Oryctolagus cuniculus: one gene and its partners. The protein of the gene in region 5 binds, or shares a complex with, the protein of the main gene of each other region. Links are inferred from orthologs where the notes say so. Each region holds a gene or a part of one and is shown on either strand. Other genes may lie near its edges. The genes, in order: AHI1, TMEM17, CC2D2A, CEP290, TMEM216, B9D2 and TMEM107.

Region 1 (3,968 bases), on a different chromosome or scaffold from region 5:
ACCTCAAGCATAAAAGGATATTTATTTAAAGCCTCTGGTTTCTTTTGGTTCTGCTGGGTAAGATGACACAGAGTAAGTCTAAAAAAAGATAAACTATTGCAAATTTGAAGATATTAATTCCTAAGTTCTTCATAACTCTGGGTTAAAAACTGTGAAGTTATTTTAAAAAATGTTTAATAAGGCTAGGCTTGAGCTTCCCTATTATTCCTGGTCACTCTCACCAGTGTGGCTATGTTGTTCTGGTAGGACAGCATTCAAGGTTAAAATACTCCAAAATAATGCTGCTGATTCTAATGTGATATCTAATATAATATAATATTTTATTCACGTGTTGTTGACCATGATACAGAGTTGCAGTTTTCAACTTGCAAAATTCCTTAGAATTTTGATACAAAACTCTTAATTTCAGGATGATATAAAAGTCACCATGACCAAATGATCAATTACTCACTGAAATGTTTTCTTTAGATTTGGCAAGTTTTTTCTTCAGTCTTTTTCTTTCACGGATTAGATCATTGTGGGTCTTAAGCAATTCTTCAAAGCGTACTTTGGTTTTTACTTTGGCTTCACTCTCAACTACAAAACAACAAAGACTCAATCATTTCTCTAAACAGCCCCAAACACAAACCTGAATTATGGTAAGAAATACAGTCTTATAAATAGCTGTGTACATTCTCTAGCTCCATTACAACAACTGACCTGTATCTTTTTTTAAAAATACTTTTTCTTTTGGCTTTGGCTATAACACACACCTGTATTCCTACTAACTTTTTGGCCCTACCTTATCTCCTTTGCTAACATTTTACTTATAATGCACAGCAGTGTCTACGACTGTTAGTTATGTGGCCTCAGAAATGTTAGTTAACTGAACTCCATTTTCCTTACCATAAAATCATAGTAATTCTGTAAATCATTCCGCATGAAAATGGTTATCAGTGGCCTACCCTGTAGTCGGCATTCAACAAATATTAAAAGTTATTTTTTCTTTAAAATATAAATCAGAGCTTGCTGTCCCCTGCTTGAAACTCTATGGAGTTCCCAATTCAGTTAGGATGAAAGAAAAGAAGGCCTTCACATGATCTACAAGATTCTGCCTTTCCCTGCAGCTTCTAATCAAGACCAATACCCTCTTAGATACCTGCATGCTGGCCACACTGCTATTCTTGTGGCTTCTCTCACAGAACAAGCCTCTTCCTGTGTGAAGGAGCTTCTGCCTGATGCATGATCCCTCTAACTCCCCTGGCTGGTGCTAAGTGGCCTGTTGCAACCTTGCCTTTAAAGTGGAACATTTCCTGACAACTTCATCCAAATTTTCCTGTTTCCAGTATATCAAGTTGTTCTTTTCCTTTATAGCACTTAACACAACTGAAAATTATGTAATTATTTTATGCTTACACAAATAAACTTATTATCTATCTTTCACACTATACTATGTGGTTTATATCTACATTCCTAGCTACTATCATGAGGTCTGGCAAAGAATACATATTTAATAAATATGTTTTAAAGAAATAAATACTAACTGAATGACTACCCCAGAGTAGGTGTTGGCAAACTGTGGCCTGCAGGCCAGTCAGTTGTTATTGTAAAGTTTTATCAAAACCAGACATGCTCATTTGGTTAAGAGTTATTACTGCTGCTTTTGTGGTTTAATGACAGAGTTCTGAGAGGAGAGCCCAAGCCTAAATATATAGTAGCTGGCCCTTTATAAAAAGTTTGCCAGTGGTGCCACAGCTCACTAGGCTAATCCTCTGCCTTGCGGGGCCAGCACACCGGGTTTTAGTCCCGGTTGGGGCACAGGATTCTGTCCCGGTTGCCCCTCTTCCTGGCCAGCTCTCTGCTGTGGCCAGGGAGTGCAGTGGAGGATGGCCCAAGTCCTTGGGCCCTGCACCCCATGGGAGACCAGGAGAAGTACCTGGCTCCTGCCATCAGATCAGCGCGGTGCGCCGGCCGCAGCGCACCGGCCGCGGCGGCCATTGGAGGGTGAACCAACGGCAAAAGGAAGACCTTTCTCTCTGTCTCTCTCTCTCACTGTCCACTCTGCCTGTCAAAAAAAAAAAAAAAAAAAAAAAAAAAGTTTGCCAATACCTGCTTTAGAGTGAAACATACAATTTTGATGAGAAAGAATAAAATTAACTATATTCTGGAATCATTATTTACCTTGTCTAGCAGTGTCCATAACTACCATTCCTAAATACATATGAACCTTAATCATCAATATTAAAAAGAAAACTGAATAGCAATTTATTAAATATCTCTAATACTCAGTCAATGACATCTATTTTATTCATTATTCTGTTAAAGAACCTCTTTAACCAAACTTTAAATGTGTAGAATATGAATCTTATAAATTTCATAAAGGTCTTACCAGCAGGCATATCTCAGCTTTATGGCAAGCATTAGGAAATAATGTAAAGCACTGACTCAATCAGGATCCTATTAAAACAAAGATTTATTTGTAATACAGAACTTCCAAAAAATATAAATAAAACACTCTTCAACCAAGATTATGCCACTGTACAAGTCCACTACTTCATGAAGTTTATACCAATAAAGCTATGCTCTCTTATTTCAATCTTATGCAAATGACCTGAGTACATCTGAATCTGTATAGTCTTAAAAGCATGTGACCCAAACTTGATCATATTTGAATAAAATGTTTCTATACTTAAAAAAGTTTTGAAAAGCAGTAAACGTGTCACTTGGTAAATTAATAAATTCTTAAAAGTGCTTTAATTAAAGATTTTAATGTGCTTTTAAGAAACCGAAACTCCATCTCCATTGCTCATTTCACAGAGCATACTCTATTATACTAGCAAAATACACTTGTGGGTAGCAATTCTCACAACTAATGAATTAAGTATCTCCGTAGGTGGAAATTTGAGAATCTATCACAGTAGGAAAGGCTAGCACAAACATTTGCACCTTCTTTTTGATTTAATTAACCTGGGCTACTAATGGATAAACGCAGTCTGTACATTCCTGAACTGTGATTTCATTTAAAGATGGGAATATGTATCTAAAATAAACAAACTGATTTGCATATTAGAATAGAACATGCAACTGTTGTTAAGAATGAAGTTGAAGATGATATAAAAAATATCTTGGGCTTCCTCAGGCATTATTAGTTAATACTGCAGTTCCCTGGGCATCCACATTCATGGTCCTCCAGCAGAAAGGTCTTGAGAACAAATGCTAAAAAGAAAAAGATTATTATAAAATCATACCTACTTATGGGAGTTAACTTATAACAACTACTTGTAGAAAGACAAGCTAGACATCATTAAAGCCACATAGTGAAAACTGCTACAAATTACTGATAGGGGTCTGTGTTTACTTGAATGACAGGTGGTCAACCACTTTCCAATCTACACTGAAAAGGCAAGTGCAATGATAGAATCACTAATTGATAGCATGTAAGTAGAAAAATTATAAAGCAAGTGAGAACTTCATTTCTGTACTATTCTATGGTCCTTCAATATACAAGAACACTACTGAATTATAAGTCATAAAAAAAAAAGGCTTGGATGTACTAGGTACAACCTGTTTTGAGCCGAAAATTTATGACACTTAAAAAAAAATTAGGTAGCTAATAAAGAGGCAGGAGAAATAATCAAGAAATATTCCTATGTGTATAAAGCAGAATAAGGACAGCAATATTACTGGCTGTATTATAGCGCAGTGTGGTAAACTGGCTGAAACCTAAGTTCTAGAATTAGTCTCCATGGTTACTTGTATGCCTGTGGACCATGGATCTCCTAAACCTTAAAACCAGCCTGCCTATTCAAAGGGTTGTTAAAAGGACTAAATGATTTAAACAGTACTTTAGAACAAGGACCAACAAATATGAGCTACAATTTTAACAGGAACTTCCTAAGGGGATTGTGTGGGGCAGTTTGAGCTGTGTATCTGAAGGACACCAAGTAGCTACAAACATCAATTCCACCGTCAGGTCCTTGGTTCAAATT
Region 2 (3,132 bases), on a different chromosome or scaffold from region 5:
AGCTGGCCTGGAAGAGGGGCAACCGGGACAGAATCCGGCGCCCCGACCGGGACTAGAACCCGGTATGCCGGCACCGCAAGGCGGAGGATTAGCCTAGTGAGCTGCGGTGCAGGCCAAATACTTTGTTCTTAACCAAATTTCCTTAGCTAGGTTTCTCTCATCAACAACAGAACATGCCCTAAATGGATCATCATATGCTGGAGATATTGTGGCATAGCAGGTTAAACGGACAATTATAACCCCTGTATCCTGTATGAGTGCCAGAATGAGTCCTTACTGTTCTGCTTCTGATCTAGCTTCCTGCTAACGCACTTGGGAAGGCAGTGGATGATGGCCCATGTGCTTAGGCCCTTGTCACCCATGTGGGAAACCCAGATGGAATTCCTGGCTCCTAATTTTTGTCTGCCCCAGCCCTAGCTATTGAAACCATTTGAGGAGACATCCATCCAGTGGATGGAAGATCAATCTCTCTCTCTCTATCTCTTCCTCCTTCACTCTGCCTTTCAAATACATAATAAATCTTAAAAAAAAAAAATGAAGAGTGTGGTTCCTTTGGCCATCTTAGTTCTTGCTATATATATAAACAGACTGGTTTCCAAATAAAACTTCATGTTAATTTAATGGATATGAAGTAGTTCTTCAGTGAATATGATGAGTACATGAGAACACAAAATTAAATTTAATGTGCCTATTAGAGTGCTCATTACAAAGAAGGTTCTCTGAAATCTTTCCCCTTCCTTCTCCTGCATTTCTGTAGTGTGAAATAATAAACCCATAGTCCAAAAGATCTATATAAAACAGGAATTGTTTGTTGCTGATAGCTTACCATAAATATTTGATAATTTATTATGAAAACATTTTGCATACTGCCACACAAATACTGAACATGGTTTTATGAAAGTTATAATTCTTTGACAAAAATATTTCCTTAATACCATGATAATCTGTTTTCTTCTTTACATCAGTATACCTTCTAAGACTAGGGTTAGAAGTTAACCACAGCAAATACAAAAATTTTGTTTTTTGGTTTATAAATATGGTCTGATGCACAATAATATTGACCAGCATTTCCATGCACTTCAAGAAAAATGGTCTGATACACAGTCAAGATATGGATAACTGACACATTTAAAAGGTACACATTTCTGGTTACAGATCTGAAATGGAAATGTTACAGTAAAACTGGTAAACTTACAACTACCACGCAGAATTTTTCACACTCAAAAAGACCAACATCATCAAACAACAAAGAAATTTGGCATTAGGTGGACAGCATCTAAGTTTCAGTGTTCATACGCCGCTTTCATGCATGGCACAGCCTTATCACTGCCCCTGTCCTTGGGACTCAGAGCTTGAGAGTAAACACACTTCCCTTGTACCTTTCCTCATGCTAGGTCTCTGATGTTTTCCTAACTCTCGCAGTCTTCTAGAATCAACTTTGAGATTTTCATTCAGCAGCACTGGGTCAAATCTCTTCTATACATGACCTCATCCTTCTCATGTCTCCTCTGTTTGCAGAGAGCCGGTCAAAGTCTTGGAGGTGGAAACGAGTGGCCAACTGATTGACCATTTTCCTCAAGGTAAGAAATGCTGAAACAACTTGGAAAGTAAGGAAGATGGTGAAGATGATATGTATTGCTTTTTCCAAGGGCAGATTTGTTAGGCCTTCATTAAAAAGCAAGAAAAGAATTAAAGGCAACTGCAGCAGAAGGCTCAAAAGCCAAAAGCCAGCCAACTCAGGAACCTGCAATGACATGATGAGGAAAAGGATCAGGCCAATGCAGTGTTTTGCTTACACAGATAAACAAGGATTTAACACTACTAAGGATCTACATTATGGACTCTGAATAATTCAAAAGGAGGGTGATGTAGTCCTTCTCCTCAGAGAACCTACAGTATAGATCAGAAAACTAGCTTATATGAAACAGTCCTAGAATGCTAAAAACTTCATTGAATATTTAACTGCAGAATTTAGAGATATTGGACTAAGTGGTACAAGTAGTAACACAGTGATTGGTGTAAGTGAAAGAAAAACTATAAGGATGTAGGCTTTATTTATTCAAAAACTACTTATTTATTTTATTTGAGAAAAAGAGTTTGTGTTTGCTGGTTCACCCTCCAGATACTGGCAGGTCTGGACCAGGTGGAAGCCAAGAGCCAGGAATTCAATTCAGGTTCCCATGTGGTGGCAGGGACCTGCCCACCGTCTCCCAGGGTGAACATTAGCAGGAAGGTGAAATGAGGAGCACAGCCAGAACTCAAACTCAGGCACTCAGATACGGGATGTGAGTGGTTCAGCTGGTGTTGTGACTACTAGGCCAAATGCCTGCCCTGAGGATATAAACTTTGGAAGTTGTGCAAAAGGAGGAAGAGGCAAGAAGGTAAGTAAGCAAGCATGTGAAAGGAGCATGACTGGGAACCAACACATCAACCTGGAATGGAAGGCTGGGCTAAGAAATACCAAGCAAAACACTAAGATGGGCTGGGTGGAGCATCGTTATGAAAGGCCTAGAAAACCACAACCTCTTCAGGCATCCTTCCCACACCCTGGCAACCATAAATGCTTAGGCAGCGTAACGACTCAGAAAACACGGGCCTGGCTGAGGAAATTCGTTTATAACTCCCCTTTCTCTCCTGATTTCTCATTCAGGATCCAAATTAACATGGTCAATTGACCAAATATCTTTGAGACTGATAAGGAGAGAAGAACATTATCAATTCTTCAGTGCTTACTATATTCAGGGACTTGATATCAGTCATTTCACTTAATCCCAACAAGCCCGTGAAGTGTATTTTCCCCATCTTAAAGATGATGAAACCGGGGCTCAAGAGATTAAGCAAAGAGACCACGATAGCAGATGAGCAAAGCTGGAGCCAGGGACTAAATTCAGGCTTATGTCTTTCCACCACACCTCACTGCCTTTAACCTGTTATGAAAACCTTGATGCACTTTGATGCGGTGCTGAGAGAAAGGAAAACGGAACCTACCTTTTCCTGTAGGTTACCCATGTAGCCCAGATATAAACGAATTGCTTCAATTAAGGTTATCAGGACGATAACAGTGATCACAATGAATTTGTAGTAATCAGGCAAGATAGAATACTAAAAGAGAAATAAAACAATAAAGTTTGC
Region 3 (4,646 bases), on a different chromosome or scaffold from region 5:
GCAATCCCAATCTTATCCAGGATTTGGTCATTTAAACAGCAAATTTGAGATGGTCAAGGGTTAGCTGACCCTCCTGGGGAATTAGCATGTTAAAGGCAAGTAAAGGATCTGAAATCCTATTGTCAACCACACAAAAAACCCAGAAGGAGGCCCTCCTTAACCTAGAGCTAACCGGGGGTCCACACTGAGAATGCAAATTCCAAAGGGCACAGAAACTGTCTCATAAATGACTCTGGTCGTTGTGAACGCAAAAAAAGAGTCCAGAAATACTTTAGTCACTAAAACACAGAAGAAAAATCACAAAGAAACAACAGAAGTCTAAAATGAAAAATGTAATGGGGTTGTTTTTTTCCCTTTCATTCTTTCCTGATCATTAACTTTGAATGAGATTCTAAGGAAATCAAATGACACCAAAATTTATTTTTGTTATGAACTCTGTTGCTAAGAAAAGATAAATCAATATTGCCCAGTGTTCATCCATGGCTTGCCTTCCTCACATGCACTGGGTGCTTGTTAATATATTCCTACTGGAAACATCAAAACAAGAGCTATGATTTACTGCACAGCTATTTTTGGGATCTTCCGATAAACGTTCTTTTTTGGTTCTCGCGGTAACACTCCGAGCTCAGCAACGCATGCCCCATTTATACACAAGGAAACTGAGGCTCTTGCAGACTCCATAGTTTGTACAAGGTCGTTGTTATGAAATGCCATGTTCAGAATTTGACCCCAAGACTCTAAGAGCCCAGAGTCCTCCCCCTTCCAGGCTACCGTGAATGATTGATTTCAAAAGAAAGCACGTTTTTAAAGGAAAAGTACTGATGCTTCCTCTGAACAAATGAACTAGTTCCAAGCATTGTCAGAGGGCCAGAGCCATACCTAGAGGGTCCTGTGAGTGGGGACTACTGTATGAAAGAAGAGGAAAGGAGAAACACGGTTCACAGAGCATTTCCACCTCGGCGCTTAAATCCAACACAGTCTGTGCCTCCTTCTGTCGAGCAGTGACACGATGGGTTTACAGAAGCATGTGAGGCCTTTACAAAGAGTTGTGTGGCCCTGAGTTCAAATTCCAGCCATGCCTTCACCTCCCTGAGACAGGCTCCTTCGCTGGTAAAATTGCGAACGTGTTCCAACCTCAAAGAGCAATCAGTTGTAAGGACTCAGTGGGAGGAAGTGAGTAGTAAAGTGTCTGTCAGCACTGGGCTCTAGGTAGGGTGAGGTGTCATTAGCAAGAAGAGGTGACAGTTGAAGGGAAAGGTGAAGAAAGGAGTGAGGAGGGAAAAGAGCTTGAGGGACAGAAAGCCCTGGGGTGACATGGGAGCCACTGTACTTACAGGCTTGACTTCCCACCTTCAGCCCTGGCTACCATAACCCACCCCTTCCCTCCAGTCAGGTCCAAGGCCATTGGTCTTCTGTTTCCATTTATGGTGCCTCTGAGAGGTCCTGCCCTATTCTCCGGAGCACGTTCTCCATCTCACCCTCAGAGCATTTGTCTGTCCCAGCCTGTTCCAGTGGGAACTCGGAAACCTGGGGAGGTGCCGCATGCACCCCTTTTGATTTCATTTTCTAACCCAATGAGTTATTCCAACCATGGCTCCCCTTAGTACCACGCTAGAGGCAGATAGCTTTACGGAATCATTTATCAGCTTGATATAGTATATACTGCCCTCAAAGAGCCCAAGTAAATGCCACATTTGAGCTGCCCTCGGTGGTATATGGCTAATGCATTGACCCGATATGCTAAGGACTCCCTAGGGGTCCCCAGGTGCTCTAAGCCCTTTAGACCCTTTTGTAAATCTCCTTTGTCACTTAGCTCATTGTAGTATGATCATCTGTTTATAGGGCTCTTTCCCCAGCAAGCTGGATTTCTGATCTGGTCTAATTTGTTTTCTCACACTCTAAACCTAAGCATGTTGTCTGGTACATTGTTAATGCTCAATAAATGTTTGAATCAACGACTCTGTAAATGTGCTGTAGGAGATCTGTCTGTCTATATCCATCTTTCTATGGAAAGAGATATTTCACACCAGTACTCAATTTATTTGCAGAAACTGTTCGTACAATGCAACAGCAGACCTGGATTTCCTGCTAGACTTCGTTAGTTTTTCATTGCATCCTTCTGCAGTGAAAGGAAACAATCTGTTTTAATTGCAGCCAGTGGATTTTCTAGCGGTCTTTTGGAAAGCAATGCAATCCGCAGCTCTGTGGTTAATCACCCCTTGCTTAAGGCCACTGAAGTTTGCACCTACAAGTACTTCTCCCCATGACCCACACAGAACGGAAAGGCCCAGAAATGCAACGTGCGGCAAAGGATTTGCTGAGTGCTGGTCTGGAGGCTGCGGGATCAGCCTGACTTAACACTTCCTGCATACCAGACGCCAGAAGGCAGCTTGAATCAAAACCACCCCAGTACTGCTCTACGTATTCCCGTCCCAGGAAGTAAAAATGTAAATAATGAAGAGATCCCCTGGACGGCCAGTTCATGAAATCTACTCTCAGGGTGCCCAGGGAGAGGCTGCACTCACTCGGAACCCATAACTGCAAACAGGAAAGCGTCACTGCTCCCGTTACGAACTGATTTACCTTACGTGCTTTACAAAAGGCACTTGGCTGCTTCCCGGAAGAGGAGGAAGGTGGAGAGAGATGGTCCTTGCTGTTGAATCCTCTGAGTGGCCGGAAGGGAAAGGCAGTGAGCTGGGGAGGCCCCGGGCTGCAGCCTGGGGAGCTGCAAGCCACGGCCCAGAGCAAAAACACCAGCTTAGCAACCCGTTCCTAGGGAAGGTCACTGGAGGCTTTTTTTTTTTTCTTTTAAAGTGACAGCTTATTTCTAGTAGTGGAAGGCAAGCCTCCCAGGAAAACGGAGGCAAAGAGAAACCAGCTTAGCGGGGAGCTGAGCAAAATGAGGGAAAACACTAGGAGTGCAGCTTCCTCTTGTCATCAGCTGGTCCTCCTGCATTTCATGTAAATGACAGGTGATGACAAGGATGGGGCAACTTAGACTCAGAGAAGGTCATCGTCACCTGATTCTGGAGGTGCCGCAGGCCACCAGCAAATACTGCGCTCAGCGACTTTCGGGCTAAACACGGAGGACTGACTGCACAGGTTTCATCTCTGCTTGTTCTCCGAATCCCACTGCAATCACTAAAAGGGGATTACATGTTACAGCTCAAAGCAGCAAAGGAAGTGGGAGAAGAGGCAAAGCAGGTGGCAGAGGAATTGGGCTGAGCAGGCCAAGGGAAGCCACATTCCAAGTGTACTTGTTTCTGTGTGTGTCTGCTCACGCCTAGGTCTCTCTCTCTCTCTCTCTCTCTCTCTGTATGTGTGTGCGCACTGGCTGTATTTTTTTGTTTTCTGTATTCTGGTTGCTCTGACATTTGGGACCTTGATCCTGGAGACAGCCTGCTGGAAACTCTACTTTCATATACAAACCAAGCAAGCGGGAGCCCCCCACACACCATCAACCTTTACCAACCTCTCACTTACCAGACCAGTGCTTCCCTGTCCTGACTCATCCCACGGCCAGGTAGCAGACACCCGAGAATACTTCCTGCAGCCCAGATCCCACCAGCATGGTTCAAACTCACTAAACTTAGCACACTTACCCTGCTTCTCCCATTCCTTCCTGGGAAAATCTCCAGAAAGACTCTGGCCCATCCTCTGCCTTTAGGGCTCCTGTGGGTGGCCTTGCATGGTGAGCCTTGGACAATCATTTGGGTGTATTGGAAACTTAACCCCAGTGCAACAGTGTGGAGGTGTTGGCCTGATGAGAGGTGATCAGCTCAGAGGTCTCTGTCCTTGGTGATTGGACTAATGCAGGTACAGGAGTGGGCTCATTACCACAGAGTGGTTTCCTTATGAAAGGATGGGTTTGGGGCCAGCGCTGTGGCGTAGTGGGTAAAGCTGCTGCCTGCAGTGCTGGCATCCCATATGGGCACCAGTTCAAGTCCCAGCTGCTCCACTTTCGATTCAGCTCTCTGCCTTGGCCTGGGAAAGCAGTGGGAGTTGGCCCAAGTCCTTGGGAGACCCAGAAGAAGCTCCTGGCTCCTGACTTTGAATGGACCTAGCTCTGGTTGCTGTGGCCATCTGGGGAGTAAACCAGCAGATAGAAGACCTCTCTCTCTCTCTCTCTCTCTCTCTCTCTCTCTCCCTCCCTCTGCCTCTCTGTAACTCTGCCTTTCAAATAAACAAATAAATCTTTTTTTTAAAAAAGGGAAAGGATGGGTTTTTCCTTCTCTCTTGCCCTTCTGTCTTCCTCCATGGGATAACACAACAAAAAGGCCCCTTCCAGACTCAGGTCCCTCAGCCCCGGCCTTCCTGGCCCCCAGAATGCCAAGAACCAATCCTCTCTCTTTTTTTATTTTTTGACAGGCAGAGTGGACAGTGAGAGAGAGAGACAGAGAGAAAGGTCTTCCTTTGCCCTTGGTTCACCCTCCAATGGCTACTGCGGCTGGCTCACCGCGCTGATCCGATGGCAGGAGCCAGGTGCTTCTCCTGGTCTCCCATGGGGTGCAGGGCCCAAGCACTTGGGCCATCCTCCACTGCACTCCCTGGCCACAGCAGAGAGCTGGCCTGGAAGAGGGGCAACTGGGACAGAATCCGGCGCCCCGACCGGGACTAGAACCCGGTGTGCCAGCGCTGCTAGGTGG
Region 4 (4,623 bases), on a different chromosome or scaffold from region 5:
ATAGGAAATCAGAAATAACTCACCCATTTTTACAAAGTTAACAGATAAAAGAAATAGGACTAGAACTTAATCTGTCTGATTCCAGAGCCCTACTTTCTAATCCTTTCTTCAGTACTGAAGTATTTCCAACTTTATCTGGCTTCTTTAGCATATGACCTCATCTCCAACTTCTCATCTTATACTTACTTAACCTACACATATAACAATCTGTACACAATCACTCTTCCTTCCTTCCCAATACAATGAAAAGGGGTCTCCCTGCATTCAAAGGCTAAGCGCTTTGTATCACGTTAATTCCTTCCTTCTCCAGAATCTTCATATATTTACCTCTTCCAACAGTGTTCATATTTTAACCCCTGGATTTGCAAAAACTATGTTTTCTACCATATCCTTCTATCACTATTCCTCAAATCTCCACTCTTCCCCACTCTACCTTAAATACAAACTTCTCTTTCTCTAGATTGTAAACTATCCAGCTATTAACTGTTTTTATTTTGTTCCCAATTAGTTCCCTAATCCTTACAAGAATTTATGGCACATAAAAGGCACACAGAATATGTATTACACAGAAATGAGAACAAAGTTATCCTTGTAATTTTTCCAGTCAAAAGTAATTAAAATAGCTGAAAATAACTCAAAATAATAAAAAGTAATGACAATTACACCCCAGGGAATACAAAAGGACATACCTCCAATTCATTTTCCAGTTTCATTACTTTAGTTTTTAATTGATTTTCTATTAAAAAAAAAAAGAGAAGTGTTTTAATTAATTATGGTGACCTCAAACAAACTAATAAATAAATCAATTCTTTGAAAAGATCCCACCATGATTTCAAGGTGACATAAGAGAAAGTGACTATTATATAACAGATCCAAACTAGAACTTTTAGAAATGTCTTTCTCAATAGATTAAATATAAACATTTTATACAATATATTAAATTTATCTTTATACTCTTTAATGAATAAATGGAGTTATTTAACACTACAATAAACTTTTTACAAGGCACTTACCAAATTTTGCTTGTTCTTCTCCAGCTTTTTCAACTTCTTCCAAAGCTAGCTCTACTTCCTGAGCTTTCATCTAAACAAAATAATCATTTCAATATGCCTTTATGCTATAGGTAAACATTGAGAACAAAGGTTTTGTTTAATTTGCTGTCTTCATCCCTAATGCCTACAATAATTTATATATGAAGACATGCAGTAAATATTTGTTGAATGAACAAATGAATGATTCTCTTACTTAAGGCTACAATTTCTAAATTTTTAAGTTGGAAATACCTTTGATTCTTCCGTTTCCCACAAGTTTTATAGCCAGTGTGACTTTTCCACCCTTTTTGCTATTCCAATAACTATTTTTCTAGCCCATAATTTTATGTATAAAGCTCCTTCATAATGTTACATCTAAATAGCCCCAATTACTTTCAGTCTCCCTCGTGTAACATACCCAGTTTCACATTCCAAAGGTATATTTTTACATCAATCATGGCTCAAAAATTTAATTTACTCCCCAACTGCTGATAACATAAAATAAATCTTTAAGGCTGTCCAAAGCCCAACCCAAACTATCGACCCAATTTGTTTTATTCTATAATCTGCTACAAACCTTCTACACCTGTGTCTTCAAGTGTGAAGCGTAAGTTATTTGTGGAAAGCACTCCAGCTCTAGAACTCCCTTACCATATCTTACCACTGCCTTCCACTTACCTAAAACTCTTCCTCAGTTTTTGTCCTCCATGAAGTCGTCTTACTCCCATCTTAAACCATTTCTACCCTTGACAAAATTTCTGTAGCAGTTAATGTCCGCATGTTTTCATTTGTGCCTCAGAATATGTGCCTCTATGTTATTTTTAAACATACCATTTCTGTTTTCCATACATATTCTTTTAGGAATTGTAGAGTAAACACCATCAATGTTTTACACTCTATTTGTATTCCATTCTTATTTGAAGATACCTCATCCTTGAGCACTGATCCCAACATTACCACATGCTTTCACAGAGATTATTTTAGAAAAGATTCTTAAATTTCCTCTAATGGTCAAGGTACTATTAAGATCTACTGCATACAAACCTTCATTAGTGACTGAGTAATCCTGAAAAGATGAACCACATTTTCTTGACTTTCATTTCTTAGCTCATTTACTTCCACCTAAATGCACAGAAAATCAACCATTTTATAAGTTTTCAGAAACAAGAACTCTTCCAGTTGTACAATTCAATGATTTTAGGGACAACTTAAATTAATCGAAGTTGCATGTATACTCATATATCTATGTATTATTTATCAATTAAGCACCTTGGACAAGGAAACCAATAAATTATCTGCCAGTTCTTCTTGCCGAGGCAGGTCATCTGGGTCAACTTTCATTATTTCTTTCCAGTTTATATTAGGTGGCATCTTGAATTCTTTCACTGTGTTCCACCTTCTGTAACAAAACAGGCGGTTATTAGCATTTCATTGTAAACAGCATTATTGCAGTCGCCACAAAGCGTCAGATATTGTACTGGCTAAATAAAATACGACAGCTTCCTTGCTGAAACTAATCCAGGTCAGGACTGATTTGGGCCCCCTCTTCCAAGCCCTTTACCGACAATGCAGACAGAACAAAGCTGTTTGGTTTGCAAAACTGAAAATGACCCCTAATTCTGAGTGGTAGAAACTGGGAGTTAAAAAAATGCAGAAATAAACGACCGAAACAAGTAAAGCTGTACCAGGGAAACCGGGACTAGAGCAGAGAAGGCAGAAGGATTGCGGACTAGAGATGAGGAGGGGCGGGGTAGCTTGGGTGTTGCATATGGGCCCTGAGGCTAAAGAACCTGCTAGTGAAGAGACGCTGTTCCGTCTGCAATGATCCATCCACCTAGACCAATCCTGACAGCCAGCGGTGGTCCCTCATCTATCGAACCACCTAGCGGAACCCCACCCGGCTCCCGATTGCTGCCTAGCGCGGTTCCACGCGAACTCTTAGTCCCGCCAACTAGCTCCCAGCAGGCAAAGGCGGCGTCGGCTACTAGGCGACACCATTCCCCACCCAGCCCAGACTGAAACAAAGCCCCGGATGCAAGAAAGCCTACATTTCACGACTGTGGTTGATGCTTTACGTCTAGATTTCCCCGCCAAACTCCCTGAACACAGGGTTAAGGACCAAGACAAGGCTTGAGACAAAGACTTCAACTCCCAGGATGCAATTCTGCCTTGAGACTTTTGCATGCTGGGAATTGAAGTCTCTGAGGAAGGGAGGCGGGGCATTCCCGGTGTGCAGTGCGGCAGGCTGCGACCCTACCCGGGAGGCGGAGGAAGAGCCGGGAGGCGGGAGGCGCCGTGGCTGAGGTGTGCCGGCGCTGGTGGCCTGAACGAGGTAAACCATGACTGTGGCTTCGGTGGCGTCACTCTTTGGGCCTCCCTTCCTGAGGTTTCCTTGAGCCATCTCCCTGGTGGAAACGCTCCTGGGTAAGGTCGGGCTGTAGGGCACAGACTGGGGAGGGAAGGAGGGGAGCGGTCCCGGTTTAAACAAGCTCCTACCCTTGGGGCCGAAGGGCTGGACCAGGGTCTAAAGAGGTGGGAAAGCCCCATCTCCTCCTTGGGCCTTGGCAGGCGGCACCCAGCAGCTTGCCTTCCGCTAGAAGGAAAGCTTGTGTTAGCCTTGTTTGGTGTTAGCATTGTGTTGGTACGCGGGGCGCAGACCGCGCAGCCCAGATCACGGTTTGGGGGCGAGGGGAGACTTGAGGAGGGGACAGCACCTTCCCGATCCCGCTGGCCTCAGGCAGCACCCTTGCATTGCCGCCGCGGATTGGAGATGCGTGAGCGTAGAGACAGGGCTCTAGAGAGAGCAGGTTAGTACTTGCCCGGACCGCTGCTGGGGTGGAGAGAAGGCGTCCTGCCGCGGTCGCTTGCTTGGTCACTGAGGGTGGTCTTCTGTGAACCCGCTTGGCAGGTGTTTGCCGCTCTGATTCGTGCAAGCTGTGCTCTTCTTGCTGTTCTGAGCCGTTCTGGTTAGGATACAGCGTTGGTCAACTCTAGCCGTAGACTGAAAATCTACATGACGTTTCCAGCTAACTGGACCACTGCCTCTCATCTTCGTCTTTTGTTCTTTAAACTCCTGTGTGGTTTTGATTTTTTTGTTTGTTTGCTATCATAGACAGTAAATTTTCCATTTAAAAATAAGTACGATTTCTTTCTTCATCTTTTGGGCGGGGGAAGGGGTGGTTTTTTTCTCCCTCCAGACTTAGATTTCTTTTTAAACCACGTGTTTGGGTGAAAAAAGAATAACTCCTTAGGAAGTAAAAACATACTCATTTTGTGGGATACATTTAAAGACGTTTATTAGATTTATGGGAGTGATAATTTTGTTTTCTCTTTTTAGGAAGGATTTTATGTCAAATATCATTTACCATTTCAGTTAATCTTCACAACTGTCCAATAAAATATGTGCATATTGTTCTCATTTTCCATACAAGTTTAGAGACTGGCTGGGAGAGGTTAAGTCCTGTGCTCCGACTTAAATGCTGGAGTGTGATTAAACACAGATGGAGGACATATTCTTAACTACCATACTGCCACCCCAGGCATTCTGAGAACCGGTCTGTGAAATGCTTGTTCTTCGTTCTAGCTATTTTAA
Region 5 (4,403 bases):
GCTTCTTCCGGGTCTCCCACGCGGGAGCAGGGGCCCAAGAACTTGGGCCATCTTCTACTGCTTTCCCAGGCCATAGCAGAGAGCTGGATTGGAAGTGGAGCAGCCGGGATGCCGATGCTGCAGGCTGTGGCTTTAACCCGCTGTGCCACAGCACCGTCCCCAGCACTTTCAACAATATGAATAAATAGGTGTATGCCAGGAAAAACCTGGATGTTACTAAATCAGTTCTTTGTTTTTTTCTTTTTTTTTCTAAATCAGTTTTTTTATTGTTTGTTTGTTTTAACAGATGTATTTGTTTACTTGAATGAGTTACACAGAGAGAGAAGGAGAGGCAGAGAGAGTCTTCCATCTGCTGGTTCACTCCCCAGCTGGCCACATCAGCCAGAGCTGTGCCAATCCGAGGCCAGGAGCCAGGAGCCTCCTCTGGGTCTCTTGCGTGGGTGCTGGGGCCCAAGCACTTGGGCCATCTTCCACTGCTTTCCCAGAAGAGAGCTGGATCAGAAGTGGAGCCGCTGGGACACAACCAGCGCCCATAAGGGATGCCAGCACGGCAGGCGGTGGCTCTACCTGCTGTGCCACCATGCCAGCACCTCTAAATCAGTTCTTAAGAATCCTTGAGCCTCTAGCATTCACTCATCTGACTGCTGTGTGCTCTGATTTCTCTGGGCTCTCCTAATCAGAGTGGAGCACAATTTTGCCGTGAAACAGTACAGGTGATAATGCCGTGAAGATACAATGACTGTCCAACACAGTGAAATGGTTTATCCATGAGAGTAGTAATAATGACTTAATGCTCTGGGGAAGACAGAAAAAGAAACAGAGGAAACTTAATTGAAAAATGAAAATGAGGCCAGCACTGCGGCTCACTAAGCTAATCCTCCACCTGCGGCGCCGGCACCCCAGGTTCTAGTCCCAGTTGGGGCGCCGGATTCTGTCCCGGTTGCTCCTCTTCCAGTCCAGCTCTCTGCTGTGGCCCGGGAGTGCAGTGGAGGATGGCCCAGGTGCTTGGGTCTCTGCACTCTATATGGGAGACCAGGAGGAAGCACCTGGCTCCTGGCTTCATATCGGCGCAGTGTGCCGGCCATAGTGGCCATTTAGGGGGTGAACCAACGGAAGGAAAACCTTTCTGTCTCTCTCTCTCACTGTCTAACTCTGCCTGTCAAAAAAAAAAATGAAAAATGAAAATGAAACCTCTTTTACATAAACAACTAATGTGTGTTCTAAATTTTTTTTTTTTTTTTTTTGACAGGCAGAGTGGACAGTGAGAGAGAGAGACAGAGAGAAAAGTCTTCCTTTGCCGTTGGTTCATCCTCCAATGGCCGCTGCGGCCGGCGCACCGTGCTGATCCGATGGCAGGAGCCAGGTGCTTCTCCTGGTCTCCCATGGGGTGCAGGGCCCAAGGACTTGGGCCATCCTCACTGCACTCCCTGGCCACAGCAGAGAGCTGGCCTGGAAGAGGGGCAACCGGGACAGAATCCGGCGCCCTGACCGGGACTAGAACCCGGTGTGCCGGCGCCACAGGTGGAGGATTAGCCTAGTGAGCTGCAGCGCCGGCGTGTGTTCTAAAATTCTAATCCTTCTTGCATTTCTACTCCTACAAATATCTTAAGAATTCAGTTTTTTTTTTTTTTTTTAAGATTCTTCATTTATTTGAAAGGCAGAATTACAGAGAAAGAGGGAGAGACAGAAAAATCTTCCATCCGCCGGTTCATTCTCCAAATGGCTGCAATATCCACAGCTGGGCTAGGCTGAAGCCAGGAGCCAGGAGCTTCACTGGGGTCTCCCATGTGGGTGCAGAGGACCCAAAGCACTGGGCCACCTTCTGTTTTCCTGAGCACATGAGCAAGGAGCTGGGACACAAACCAGCACCCTTATGGATGCCGGTGTCAGACAGTAGCTTTACCACGCCACAAAATCAGCCTCAATATTCATTAAAAAAAAATAAATAAAACTAGGCCGGCGCCGCAGCTCAATAGGCTAATCCTCCGCCTTGCGGCGCCAGCACACCGGGTTCTTGTCCCGGTCGGGGCAACGGATTCTGTCCTGGTTGCCGCTCTTCAGGCCAGCTCTCTGCTCTGGCCCGGGAAGGCAGTGGAGGATGGCCCAAGTGCTTGGGCCCTGCACCCCGTGGGAGACCAGGAGAAGCACCTGGCTCTTGCCTTCAGATCAGCGCGGTGTGCCAGCCGCAGCATGCCGGCCGCAGCGTGCCGGCCACGGCGGCCGGTGAACCAACGGCAAAAGGAAGACCTTTCTCTCTGTCTCTCACTGTCCACTCTGCCTGTCAAAACAAACAAACAAACAAACTATATAGGGGCCAGCATTGTGGTGTAGCAGGTAAAGCCATTGCCTGTGACGCTGGCATCCCATATGGGTGCCGGTTCAGGTCCCAGCTGCTCCACTTCCAATTCAGCTCCCTGTTAATGGTCTGGAAAAGCAACAGAGGATGGCACAAGTCCTTGGGCCCCTGAACCCATGTAGGAGACCTGGAAGAAGCTCCTAGCTCCTGGCTTTGGCCTGCTTGCAACAGCCAGTGCTGGGCTAGGCTGAAGCCAGGAGCCAGGAACTCTACCCATGTCTCCCTCACGGATGGCAGGAGCTGAAACACTCAGGCCATCACTGATGCCTCCCAGATACATCAGCAGGAAGCTGGATGAGAAGCGGAGGTGGGACTGAATCCCAAGCACTCCAATGTGGGATGTGGGCATCCCAAGCAGCAACTTAATTAACTGCCCCAACACCGACCCCCAAGTGGCATCTTAACTGCTGCACCAGCTGCTTGCACATTCCCCGACTTAACTTTGATGCTCAATTTTACAAGGTTTGTACAAGGAAGTGAAACTGCAAACACCTGAACCAAATATCAGCAAGTGAAATCCAGTGATATATAAAAGGCAAAACATCTGAGTCAAGGGTCCCCAAAACCACACACAGGCTTGATGATCTGCTAGGAGGACTTGCGGGGCTTGGCATACAGTTGCCCTCACAGCTGTGACAGAATACACAGTCAGAAGAGGGAAAAGGTGTCCAGAGGAAACCAGGAATAAGGGTCTGACAACCTTCTCCCAGTGGCATCACACAGGGTGTGCTTAATTCCACCAGCAACAGTTCTGGGAACAAACATGAAATGTCTCCAGGGAAGCTCAGTGGAGACTCAATCCAAGGTTTTTTGTTTGGAAGTGATCACATAGGCACCCTCTGCCTAGAATGTGTCCCAAAATTCCAGACTCCCAGAAGGAAAATGGGTGTTCAGCAGAAGCCACACTGTTTGTACAGTTTAGGCACTGTGAGCCACTTTTTTTTTTTTTTAAGATTTATTTGTTTGAAAGGCAGAATTACATAGAGATGGGAGTGGAGAGAGAGAGAGAGATCGATCTTCTGGGGTTGGTGCTGTGGCGTAGCGGGTAAAGCCACCACCTGCAGTGCCAGCATCCATTGTGAGTGCTAGTTCAAGTCCTGGCTGCTCCACTTCTGATCCAGCTCTCTGCTATAGCCTGAAAAAGCAATGGAGGATGGCCCAAGTCCTTGGGCCCCTGCACCTACATTGGGGACCCAGAAGAAGCTCCAGGCTCCTGGCTTTGGATCGGCGCAGTTCCGGCTGCTGCAGGCATCTGGGGAATGAAGCAGCAGATGAAGACCTCTCTCTCTCTCTCTCTCTCTCTCTCTCTCTCTCTCTCTGCCTTTCCTCTCTCTGTAACTCTGACTTTCAAATAAATAATAAATAAATCTAAAGAAAAAAAAACAAAAAAGAAAGAGATCTTCCATCTGCTGACTCACTCCCCAAATGGCCACAATGCCTGGGACAGGGTCAGTTGAAGCTAAGAGCCTGGAACTCCATCTGGGTCTCCCATGTGAGTGCAGGGGCCCAAGCACTTGGGCCACCATCTGCTGCTCTCCCCAGATGCATTATCAGGGAGCTGGATGGGAGGTGCAGCAGCTGAGACTTGAACTGGTGCTCATACGGTATGCAGTGCTGCAGGCAGTGGCCTAACTCACTGTGCCACAACACTGGTCCCCAAGGAGCCCTTCCAAAATCCCAGTTCCCAAGCATCAGCCAAGTGTCAACCTTGCAAACTGGCCTTTCTAAGGATAGAGTCTCAGGCTGCTAGATTAGCTTCTTATGCACAATATCATAACCAAGTGGATTTTTTCCCCTAGGAAGCAAAGATTGGTTATACCTTTGAAAAAAAAATCAATGTAATTTATCACCTTAGCAGAATAAAGGGGAAAATCATATGGCTGTCTCAATCGATATAGAGAAAACACTTAACAAATCATAAGCCTTTTAGTAAGCTAGAAAAATAAGAGACTTCCATAAAGTGATAAAAAGTACTTACAAACATATCTATAATTGGAGTGGGTGTTTGCTGGGGCAGTGAGACACTGCCTGGGACGCCTGCATCCCA
Region 6 (3,338 bases), on a different chromosome or scaffold from region 5:
CTCTTTCTCTTCTCTGTTGCTCTGCCTTTCAAATAAAATAAATATTTTTTGAAAAGAAAGAAAACAAAGATGATGCCAGCACCGGGGACTGGAAGCCAAAGAGTTGAAAGGACAGCTGCCTGCCTTACCCTCCATCACCCACATGGCAGCCAGGAGGCGCTCTCCCCTCCCCCCCCCCCCCTCTCCTTTTTAAATGTCTTTACTACCAGCCGGTGCCATGGCTCACTTGGCTAATCCTCCATCTGCGGCGCCGGCACCCAGGGTTCTAGTCCCGGTTGGGGCGCCGGATTCTGTCCCGGTTGCTCTGCTGTGGCCCGGGAGGGCAGTGGAGGATGGCCCAAGTGCTTGGGCCCTGCACCCCATGGGAGATCATGAGAAGCACCTGGCTCCTGCCTTCGGATCGGCGCACTAGCCATAGTGGCCATTTGGGGGGTGAACCAATGGAAGGAAGACCTTTCTCTCTCTCTCTCTCTCTCACTAACTCTGCCTGTCCAAAAAAAAAAAAAAAAAAAAAAATCTTTACTATTGAGCAAAGATACCACACAGAGTGCTCTCATCCTTCACTCCCCAGTGCCCACAAAATGGCTCAGACTGGGCCTTGCCTAGGCTGGACAGAAGGCTGGGAACGCAGTCTGGGCCTCTCCTGCTAGCCTCCCAGAGTGCGCCTTAGCAGGAAGTCGGAGCCGGGAACTGGAGCTGGTATCAAGCCCCGGCGCTGTATGGAATGCCGGCGTCTTAGCTGCTAGGTTAAATGCCAGCCCCAAAAAGATCCTTTAAACGTAAAACGTGCCTCAGCTCCTGGGGCTGTCACCCGCGCCCCCCACCCCCACCCCGCCACCCTCTCACTCTCCCTTAGTCCACAAAATGCCCTTTGAGCCTTCCACACCCAGCCCTCTTACATCCTGCTGCCTTATTAGCGCCTACCAGCTTTTCACGGCAAAGTTGCAATGTCCCCTCCAGGAAGCCCTCTCTGATCGCACTGACAAGGTGGGGCTCCTCCTGTGGGAGGAGGTTGCAGGTTGCCTTGCCCACCCTGGGCTGTGCCACCCACATGGCATGGTCAGCCGTCTGAGGACAGCAACAGGCACAGAGCGGGCTCTCAGGAGATGCCGGTTACATAGTGCTGGAATGGCACACTCCAGGGCCCCTGACACAGAGAAGGAAACACAGAGAGGGATCGCCCACCCAAGGGTTCACTCCTCAGATGCCAGCAACAGCGTGGGCTGGGCCAGAACAAAACCAGGAGCTTGGATCTCAATAGGGGTCTCCCATGCGAGTGGCCATTACCTGGTGCTCTCCAGGGTGCACACCAGCAGGAAGCTGGACCAGAAGTAGAGCTGGGGGCTGGCGCAGTGGCACAGTGGGTAAAGCCGCTGCCTGCAGTGCCAGTATCCCATATGGGCGCTGGTTGAGTCCTGCACCACTTCCGATCCAGCTCTCTGCTGTGGCCTGGGAAAGCAGTGGAAGATGGCCCAAGTGCTTGGGCCCTTGCACCCGAGTGGGAGACCTGGAAGAAGCTCCTGGCTCCTGGCTTTGGATCGGTGCAGCTCTGGCTGTTGTGGCCATCTGGGGAGTGAACCAGTGGATGGAAGACCTCTCTCTCTCTCTCTCTTCCTCTGCCTCTCTGTAACTCTGCCTTTTAAATAAATAAATCTTAAAAAAAAAAAAAAAAAGAAAGAAAAGAAAAAAAGAAGTAGCACTGGCACTCAAACCCACGACTGGATGTGGGGTGCAGGTATCCCAAGCAGCACCCAAACCTCAGAGCCAGGTGCCCACCCTGTGGCCCGCACTTTCCACCAGGTTTTCTGATGCCACTCCTCTCCTCCACTCTGCTGGTTTCCCCGTGAGCAGCACTCGTTCAAGGGAGGAGCCTTGCTGAAGCACAGCGGCCAGCCCTGGCCTCCCTGTCTCTAATTCACAGAGGCCCTCCCAGCTTCCCCCTTATTGAAGACCTGGTTTCTCTCTTTAAGGAAGGCTGCTTCCCTGTTCCTGGGAACCCACCTTCCCTGGCCTCCACCTCAGGCCCCCAGCCTGGGGTCCCCAACAGAGCCGGCCTGGGGAGGGTCAGCTCAGCCTCTGCAGGGCCAGGCGTGGCTAGGAAAGGGACCCACAAGGCTTGTTCCAGTCCCAGCAGCTTTGGGGCTACTGGCCGCCTCCCCTCAGCACACCCCGGGCTAAGGCCTGGAACCTACCTTGGAGACCTTTGGTGGCGAAGTGCAGGTCGATGGGGTGGGACCAGTAGGCCATGTCCCCTACCTGGGGGGTGTCCACCTGCGTTTGGCCCTCCCGCACACCTGACAGGAGCTTCCATGCTGCCCCTGTGGTGAGAGCCAGGACAGAGACAAGTGGGCAGGAGATGCCATTGTGGCTTCTCCCTGGCGTTTGTGGGTAGGGGTTACAAAGTGTGGACTCTGGAGCAAATGTTGACCTTCAAATCCTGCCACTACCTCTTCCTACTTGTACAACCCGGGGCAAGTTACCATTCTCTGCCTCAATCTCCCCATCTGTGAAAGGGGCAAACAAGACACATTCCTCAGAAGTCTGTGAGTGTGGGTGCCAGTTCAATCTCACTTTACTACCATCTCTCCCCCCTGGGGGTCCCCGAGGACTGAGATGGACTCATGGGCACCCAGTCCCTCTTGTGGGGCCAGATAACCGTGGGAAAATGCACCAAGGGATACACTGGGCTAAGTGCTTGGGCAGTGCCTTCTGCTGCCCGGCAGGACTCCTACCTCCCCCACGGCAGACTCTCCTGCGTGGCCCACAGGGCACCGCATGGCCTGGCACCTGCCCCCCTTTCTGAACTCACTGCCCGCACAGTCCCCTCCCACACCACCCGTGGGCCTCACTGGTCCCATTTCTGTATGTCTGTCCCCCTACCTCAGGGCCTTTGCACTGACTTCCCTGTTTGGAAAGTTCTGCTCCCAGAAGGCCCCATTCCCGGCTTTTTGCTCATCTTCTGGGCTCAGCTGAGGCGCCTCCTTTTCATTGCGGCTCTCTCTGACTGTCCTATCCAAAACTATCCCAGCACCCATTTCTTTTCCTTTTAAAAATATTTGTATCTAGTATTTGAGAGGTAGAGCGATAAACAGAGAGCTCCCACGCACAGGTTTACTCCCTGAAACGCCTGGAACAGCCGGGACCGGGCCACCCTGAAGCTGGGAGCTGGGAACACAACCCATGTCTCCTACGTAAGCGGGAGGAACCCAGTCACTTAGGCCATCCCTGCTGCCTGCCAGGGCTGGCATTAGCAGGGAGCTAAGCCAGCAGCCAGGTGTGCGGCGGGATGTGCAGGTCCTAACCCCGAGCTAAACACCCGCCCTCTATAGCCATTGCCT
Region 7 (4,442 bases), on a different chromosome or scaffold from region 5:
CCCAGCCTGCAGCACTGGCAAACCATATGGGCGCCAGTTCAAGTCCTGACTCCACTTCTAATCCAGCTCCTTGCTAATGCACCTGGGAAAGCAGCGGAAGATGGCCCAAGTGCTTGGACCCATCACCCACAAGGGACACCTGGATGGAGTTCCCGGCTCCTGGTTTCGGCCTGGCCCAGCCCTGGCTGTTGTGGCCATCTGGGGGAGTTAACGAGTGGATGCAAGATCTTTCTCTGCCTCTTCCTCTCTGTAACTCCACTTTTCAAATAAAATAAATGCATCTTTTAAAAAAAGGTAGAATGAGAAGCTCGTGTGCGGCGGCGGTGTCGGCAGCGGCTGCAAAGAGAAGAGTTTGGCGCGATGTCTCATACCATTTTGCTGGTACAGCCTACCAAGAGGCCAGAAGGCAGAACTTATGCTGACTATGAATCTGTGAATGAATGCATGGAAGGTATTTGTAAAATGTATGAGGAACATCTGAAAAGAATGAATCCCAACAGTCCGTCTATCACATACGATATCAGTCAGTTGTTTGATTTTATTGATGATCTGGCAGACCTCAGCTGCCTTGTTTACCGGGCTGATACCCAGACATACCAGCCTTATAACAAAGACTGGATCAAAGAGAAGATCTATGTGCTCCTCCGCCGGCAGGCCCAACAGGCGGGAAAATAATGGAGTGGAAGCAGTAGGGGGATGGGGGTGGGCTTGGAACACAGGTGTGTACAGCGTGCTGTAGTGGGAGTTTTGTATTATAGTGATCCTGTTTCCACTTGGTACACTCTAGCCAGATTGAATGTATCAGATGAAGTGTGAGAATGTTGTTCAATCTGAAACCCCCATTGCCCCTTTTTTCTTTTCTTTTTCTTCCCTTTTTTTTTTTTTTTACTTAAACATTTTTATGAGGATTTAGATGGAATTTTTTTGTCAGTTAATGTTGGTTCCAGAGCTTCAGACTGTTGAGATCTGCTTTATAACAGTCACTGTACTAACCCTTAGAGATGGGGTGGGGGGTGGCTCAGTTTAGTTACATCCTCAAGGCAAACTCTTAGTGGAAAATAAATGTTCTTTAGTTATAAAAAAAAAAAAAGGTAGATTGAAATACACAAAAGATGTTAAAATCTATGTGGTCACCATGCTACTAAAAAGATCTAGTTGTGTTTGTAGGACACTACTGAACCGGGATTCTGAAAACTGGCAAATAATGGAAAAAAAAAAAAAGGACCCATTTATCCTGCCTTTCCTGTATGACTCGTATCTCATGGAAAATTCTTACTGATAAAAGAATTCTAGCTGGTAGATGCAGAAGAGGGCTCGAATTAGGCCATCCCCATTTTGCAATCGCTATTGAAATCATGCAGTTAGGCAATGAGGACCCGTGGTACCATTAGGTGAGAATGGATGAAGAATTTTATCACGGGTGGCTCAGCCTGACCGCACCCGAAGCCACCACTCAGACTTCAGCACCACAGACAGACAGACACACAGACAAGCAGGATTCCTGATGAGGTGAACAGAAAGTACAAACCATCCCTCGGGATGTGATCTTACCAGAAAACTGAATGACACATAGATCAACCATTAGACCTGACCATCAGTTTGCAGGAAACACAGTGCCAGGAGAGAATGAAATGACGCCACACGTGGCCCAGTATCTTCAGCAAGAAAAGAAGGAAGGTGAGGTGATGGGGAGGAGGGCAAACCCAAGATTAACAGAGATTTCAGACATGTCAGCCAAGTGGACTTTATTTGTACCCCAATGCACACGTGTGGGGTTGTGGTGGAGGGGAGGGGGCAACAAAGCTGACCACGTGCTGACAACTGTTGAGGCAGAGCAGTGGCCCTCCCAGGGGTTTGTTATACTGTTTCATTTTTACGTTGTGTTTGAAATTTCCTAGGATGCCAAAAAATGAAAAGTTTGCAAGTTCTTTTGTCACCAATTCAAATGCTGAGATACCGAATCCAGCCCTGGAGTGAGTGGCCACCTACGGGAGGACAGCTGGTCACCCGCAGCACAGCCCATGGCCACCAGCAGGCTCTAAAACCCAGGCAAGAAACGACTTTCTCTGAGGCAAGTTTCTATAAACCAAGGTTGTGGACAAGGACAAAGCAGACATAGGCTGCCCACTCCCTGTTCATGAGTCCACACCTAAGGACCTGAGAACTCGGTTTGTACTGTCTAGCCCGTCTCCTAGGCAGAACGCCTACTGAGCAGAATGCTCCAAACCTCCAGCTGTTGAACGCAAAATCCTTGGGTCACCTTGACTCTCCCTTTTCCTCACCCACCCACAGGCCCCGAGCCAGACCCTCTCCCCAATCCTTCTGCTTTGCTCCATCGTCTTTGCTTCACCCTGTCCTTTCTGGATACTTCTATGGCTTCCTCGTTAGTCTCTCCATATTGCAACCTGGGTCGTGGAGAATACGAATCTGACCACGTCGCGCCTGGTGGCTGCAAGGCCTGCCGCGACCACGCTCCACCTCCTTTTGGGCTGCCTACCACTAGGCTTTGCAGTGCAGGCTGACTTGAAGGCTGGGGTTACTCTCCTCAGAAGCGGGGAGGGAAGCCCCTTGGGTGTGCGCAAGCAGCAGGGGTCTTCCTGGAGCCCGTGCGGCCGGTACCTCGGAGACCCCGGAACCAGAGCTGAGCCTTGCGTCCCAGGCAGCTCCAAACCTCCTGTGCGGGACGCTTCGTCCACGCTCGCCCTGTCCAGTCCCGGCGGGGCCGTCCCTAGGCTGAGGCTGCCACCATCTTCTGCACTATGCAAATCCCTCACCGAACCCGGCAAAGATGTCTGGGGTGCTCCGACCACCAAGGGCTCCGTGACAACGGGCCTGCCGGACAAGGTAGGTCCAGTGAACGTTCCACGTTGGGCTCAGGGCACAAGGAAGCTACGAGGACGGAAAGGGAAGACCGCGTCTGAGCCTCCAACCTAAGACCGGCACGCCGGCCGCAGCAGTCCGCGAGCACCTCCTCCGCGGACAGGCCATTCCCGGCAATGCAGCCTGGGGCCGCGCCGCTCCGGACCTGAGCAGCCAGCGAACCCCCGGACGTAGTCCTCCGGTTAGGAGGCTGGCGGCCGCAGCGGGGTCCCCGAACACGGCGCACTTGCACGACGGCGGCTCGAGAATTTACGGCTCTCGCGAGATCTTCAGAACCCGAGGCGCACGGTCCGCGTACGCAGTTACCAAGGCAACGGGGCGGCCCCTGAGGCGCGCGAAGGCCGCGGGCCGGGAGAGGTTTCCCAGCGCCGCCGCCCGCGGCCCTGAGGAGCATGAGCCGGATCTCGGGGCTCGTGCCCTCCCGCTTCCTGACGCTGCTGGCGCATCTGGTGGTCGTCATCACCTTATTCTGGTCGCGGGTAAGACCCACGGCCGCCACTCCGCGTCGCCATCTCGCCGTGGTCGCCGCGCCCACCCCGCCCGGGGTCTCAGCCGGCCTCTCTCACTTCCTTTCCTTTTCTGCCCGCTCCCCAGGACAGCAACGTCCAGGCCTGCCTGCCCCTCCGATTCACCCCCGAGGAGTATGAGAAGCAGGACGTGCAGTGAGCTCTTGGGGGGGTGGGGGTTCGAAGGAAGAGGCGGTGGGAGTCCCGGAGGCCGGGGGTCCTGAGCCGCTCCCCTTCCTCTCTGCAGGCTGGTGGCCGCCCTCTCGGTCACCCTGGGCCTCTTTGCCGTGGAGCTGGCCGGCTTCCTCTCAGGAGTGTCCATGTTCAACAGCACCCAGAGCCTCATCTGTATCCTTTCTGCCCCCACGACCCGTTTCCAGCGCGACTCCCTTCAGCGACCCCCTTCCCCCCAGGAGCCCCGCCTCTGCTTAGGCAGTGCAGGGATTTGACACAATCCTCAAACAGTTGTGGATGCCGCTGTGCACCGGGCCCTGGAGGTAAATGGGGGTGAGGCGGAGGCAGACACACACACACACACACACACACCCCACTATCCTCTAGGAGGGGGTAAAAGAGCCAAGGATTGAGGGAGGCGCTTGACTCTCCAGTTGCGGGCCTCCTGGTGGAGAGTGATTCCAGCAGAGAGGATCAAGTCGCTGTCCGCATTCCTGTGGGGTCCATGGGGGCCTGCTCTGACCTCCCCTCGGGGGTGCAGGCTGGCCCCTCCATGTGGGGTGAGGGTAGCCTGGGGTCTCGGCAGTGCAGGCTCAGCGCAGGCCGCTACACGTGGGCCTGTTAAAATCAGAAGGCAGGGCTGCTGACTCCCGCCGTCGCACAAGGCCTGGGAGCTCCACCACTGGCCTGCCATAGCCCGTCGCTGTTGTGGCCCCAAGACTTTCCTTGACTCCTGTGTGTCGCCCACAAGCCATCGCAGCGCACTGTAGTGCATCTGTAGCCCTGTCGTTCTTCATATTCGAGCGCTGGGAGTGCACCACGTACTGGTACATTTTTGTGTTCTGCAGGTGCGGTTAGCACCCAGTCTTGGGGGGTGGGGAG

What was found.
Region 1: TMEM216 (region 5) and AHI1 share a complex: the UniProt entries of both Homo sapiens proteins name them as parts of the tectonic-like complex. The link is inferred for Oryctolagus cuniculus from reciprocal best matches to the Homo sapiens genes TMEM216 and AHI1.
Region 2: TMEM216 (region 5) and TMEM17 share a complex: the UniProt entries of both Homo sapiens proteins name them as parts of the tectonic-like complex. The link is inferred for Oryctolagus cuniculus from reciprocal best matches to the Homo sapiens genes TMEM216 and TMEM17.
Region 3: TMEM216 (region 5) and CC2D2A share a complex: the UniProt entries of both Homo sapiens proteins name them as parts of the tectonic-like complex. The link is inferred for Oryctolagus cuniculus from reciprocal best matches to the Homo sapiens genes TMEM216 and CC2D2A.
Region 4: TMEM216 (region 5) and CEP290 share a complex: the UniProt entries of both Homo sapiens proteins name them as parts of the tectonic-like complex. The link is inferred for Oryctolagus cuniculus from reciprocal best matches to the Homo sapiens genes TMEM216 and CEP290.
Region 6: TMEM216 (region 5) and B9D2 share a complex: the UniProt entries of both Homo sapiens proteins name them as parts of the tectonic-like complex. The link is inferred for Oryctolagus cuniculus from reciprocal best matches to the Homo sapiens genes TMEM216 and B9D2.
Region 7: TMEM216 (region 5) and TMEM107 share a complex: the UniProt entries of both Homo sapiens proteins name them as parts of the tectonic-like complex. The link is inferred for Oryctolagus cuniculus from reciprocal best matches to the Homo sapiens genes TMEM216 and TMEM107.

Annotation. Positions count from the first base shown.
Region 1 is NC_091436.1:33,410,861-33,414,828, reverse strand, and holds part of AHI1 (jouberin), read right to left. Parts: intron 2,437-3,968; 5' UTR 2,379-2,436; coding exon 2,369-2,378; intron 577-2,368; coding exon 452-576; intron 1-451. UniProt on the Homo sapiens protein: Involved in vesicle trafficking and required for ciliogenesis, formation of primary non-motile cilium, and recruitment of RAB8A to the basal body of primary cilium.
Region 2 is NC_091433.1:140,426,190-140,429,321, reverse strand, and holds the end of TMEM17 (transmembrane protein 17), read right to left. Parts: intron 3,103-3,132; coding exon 2,989-3,102; intron 1,745-2,988; coding exon 1,466-1,744; 3' UTR 808-1,465; downstream 1-807. UniProt on the Homo sapiens protein: Transmembrane component of the tectonic-like complex, a complex localized at the transition zone of primary cilia and acting as a barrier that prevents diffusion of transmembrane proteins between the cilia and plasma membranes.
Region 3 is NC_091433.1:10,481,964-10,486,609, reverse strand, and holds the start of CC2D2A (coiled-coil and C2 domain-containing protein 2A), read right to left. Parts: upstream 2,923-4,646; 5' UTR 2,584-2,922; intron 1-2,583. UniProt on the Homo sapiens protein: Component of the tectonic-like complex, a complex localized at the transition zone of primary cilia and acting as a barrier that prevents diffusion of transmembrane proteins between the cilia and plasma membranes.
Region 4 is NC_091442.1:90,803,956-90,808,578, forward strand, and holds the start of CEP290 (centrosomal protein of 290 kDa), read right to left. Parts: upstream 3,054-4,623; 5' UTR 2,717-3,053; intron 2,431-2,716; 5' UTR 2,403-2,430; coding exon 2,301-2,402; intron 2,154-2,300; coding exon 2,076-2,153; intron 1,084-2,075; coding exon 1,014-1,083; intron 737-1,013; coding exon 690-736; intron 1-689. UniProt on the Homo sapiens protein: Involved in early and late steps in cilia formation. Its association with CCP110 is required for inhibition of primary cilia formation by CCP110.
Region 5 is NC_091432.1:10,788,927-10,793,329, reverse strand, and holds the start of TMEM216 (transmembrane protein 216), read left to right. Parts: upstream 1-1,527; 5' UTR 1,528-4,403. UniProt on the Homo sapiens protein: Part of the tectonic-like complex which is required for tissue-specific ciliogenesis and may regulate ciliary membrane composition.
Region 6 is NC_091449.1:13,272,752-13,276,089, reverse strand, and holds part of B9D2 (B9 domain-containing protein 2), read right to left. Parts: intron 2,319-3,338; coding exon 2,193-2,318; intron 1-2,192. UniProt on the Homo sapiens protein: Component of the tectonic-like complex, a complex localized at the transition zone of primary cilia and acting as a barrier that prevents diffusion of transmembrane proteins between the cilia and plasma membranes.
Region 7 is NC_091448.1:52,667,040-52,671,481, reverse strand, and holds the start of TMEM107 (transmembrane protein 107), read left to right. Parts: upstream 1-1,452; 5' UTR 1,453-1,677; intron 1,678-1,898; 5' UTR 1,899-3,272; coding exon 3,273-3,359; intron 3,360-3,474; coding exon 3,475-3,537; coding exon of another isoform or gene 3,538-3,542; intron 3,543-3,633; coding exon 3,634-3,734; intron 3,735-4,303; coding exon 4,304-4,408; intron 4,409-4,442. UniProt on the Homo sapiens protein: Plays a role in cilia formation and embryonic patterning. Requires for normal Sonic hedgehog (Shh) signaling in the neural tube and acts in combination with GLI2 and GLI3 to pattern ventral and intermediate neuronal cell types.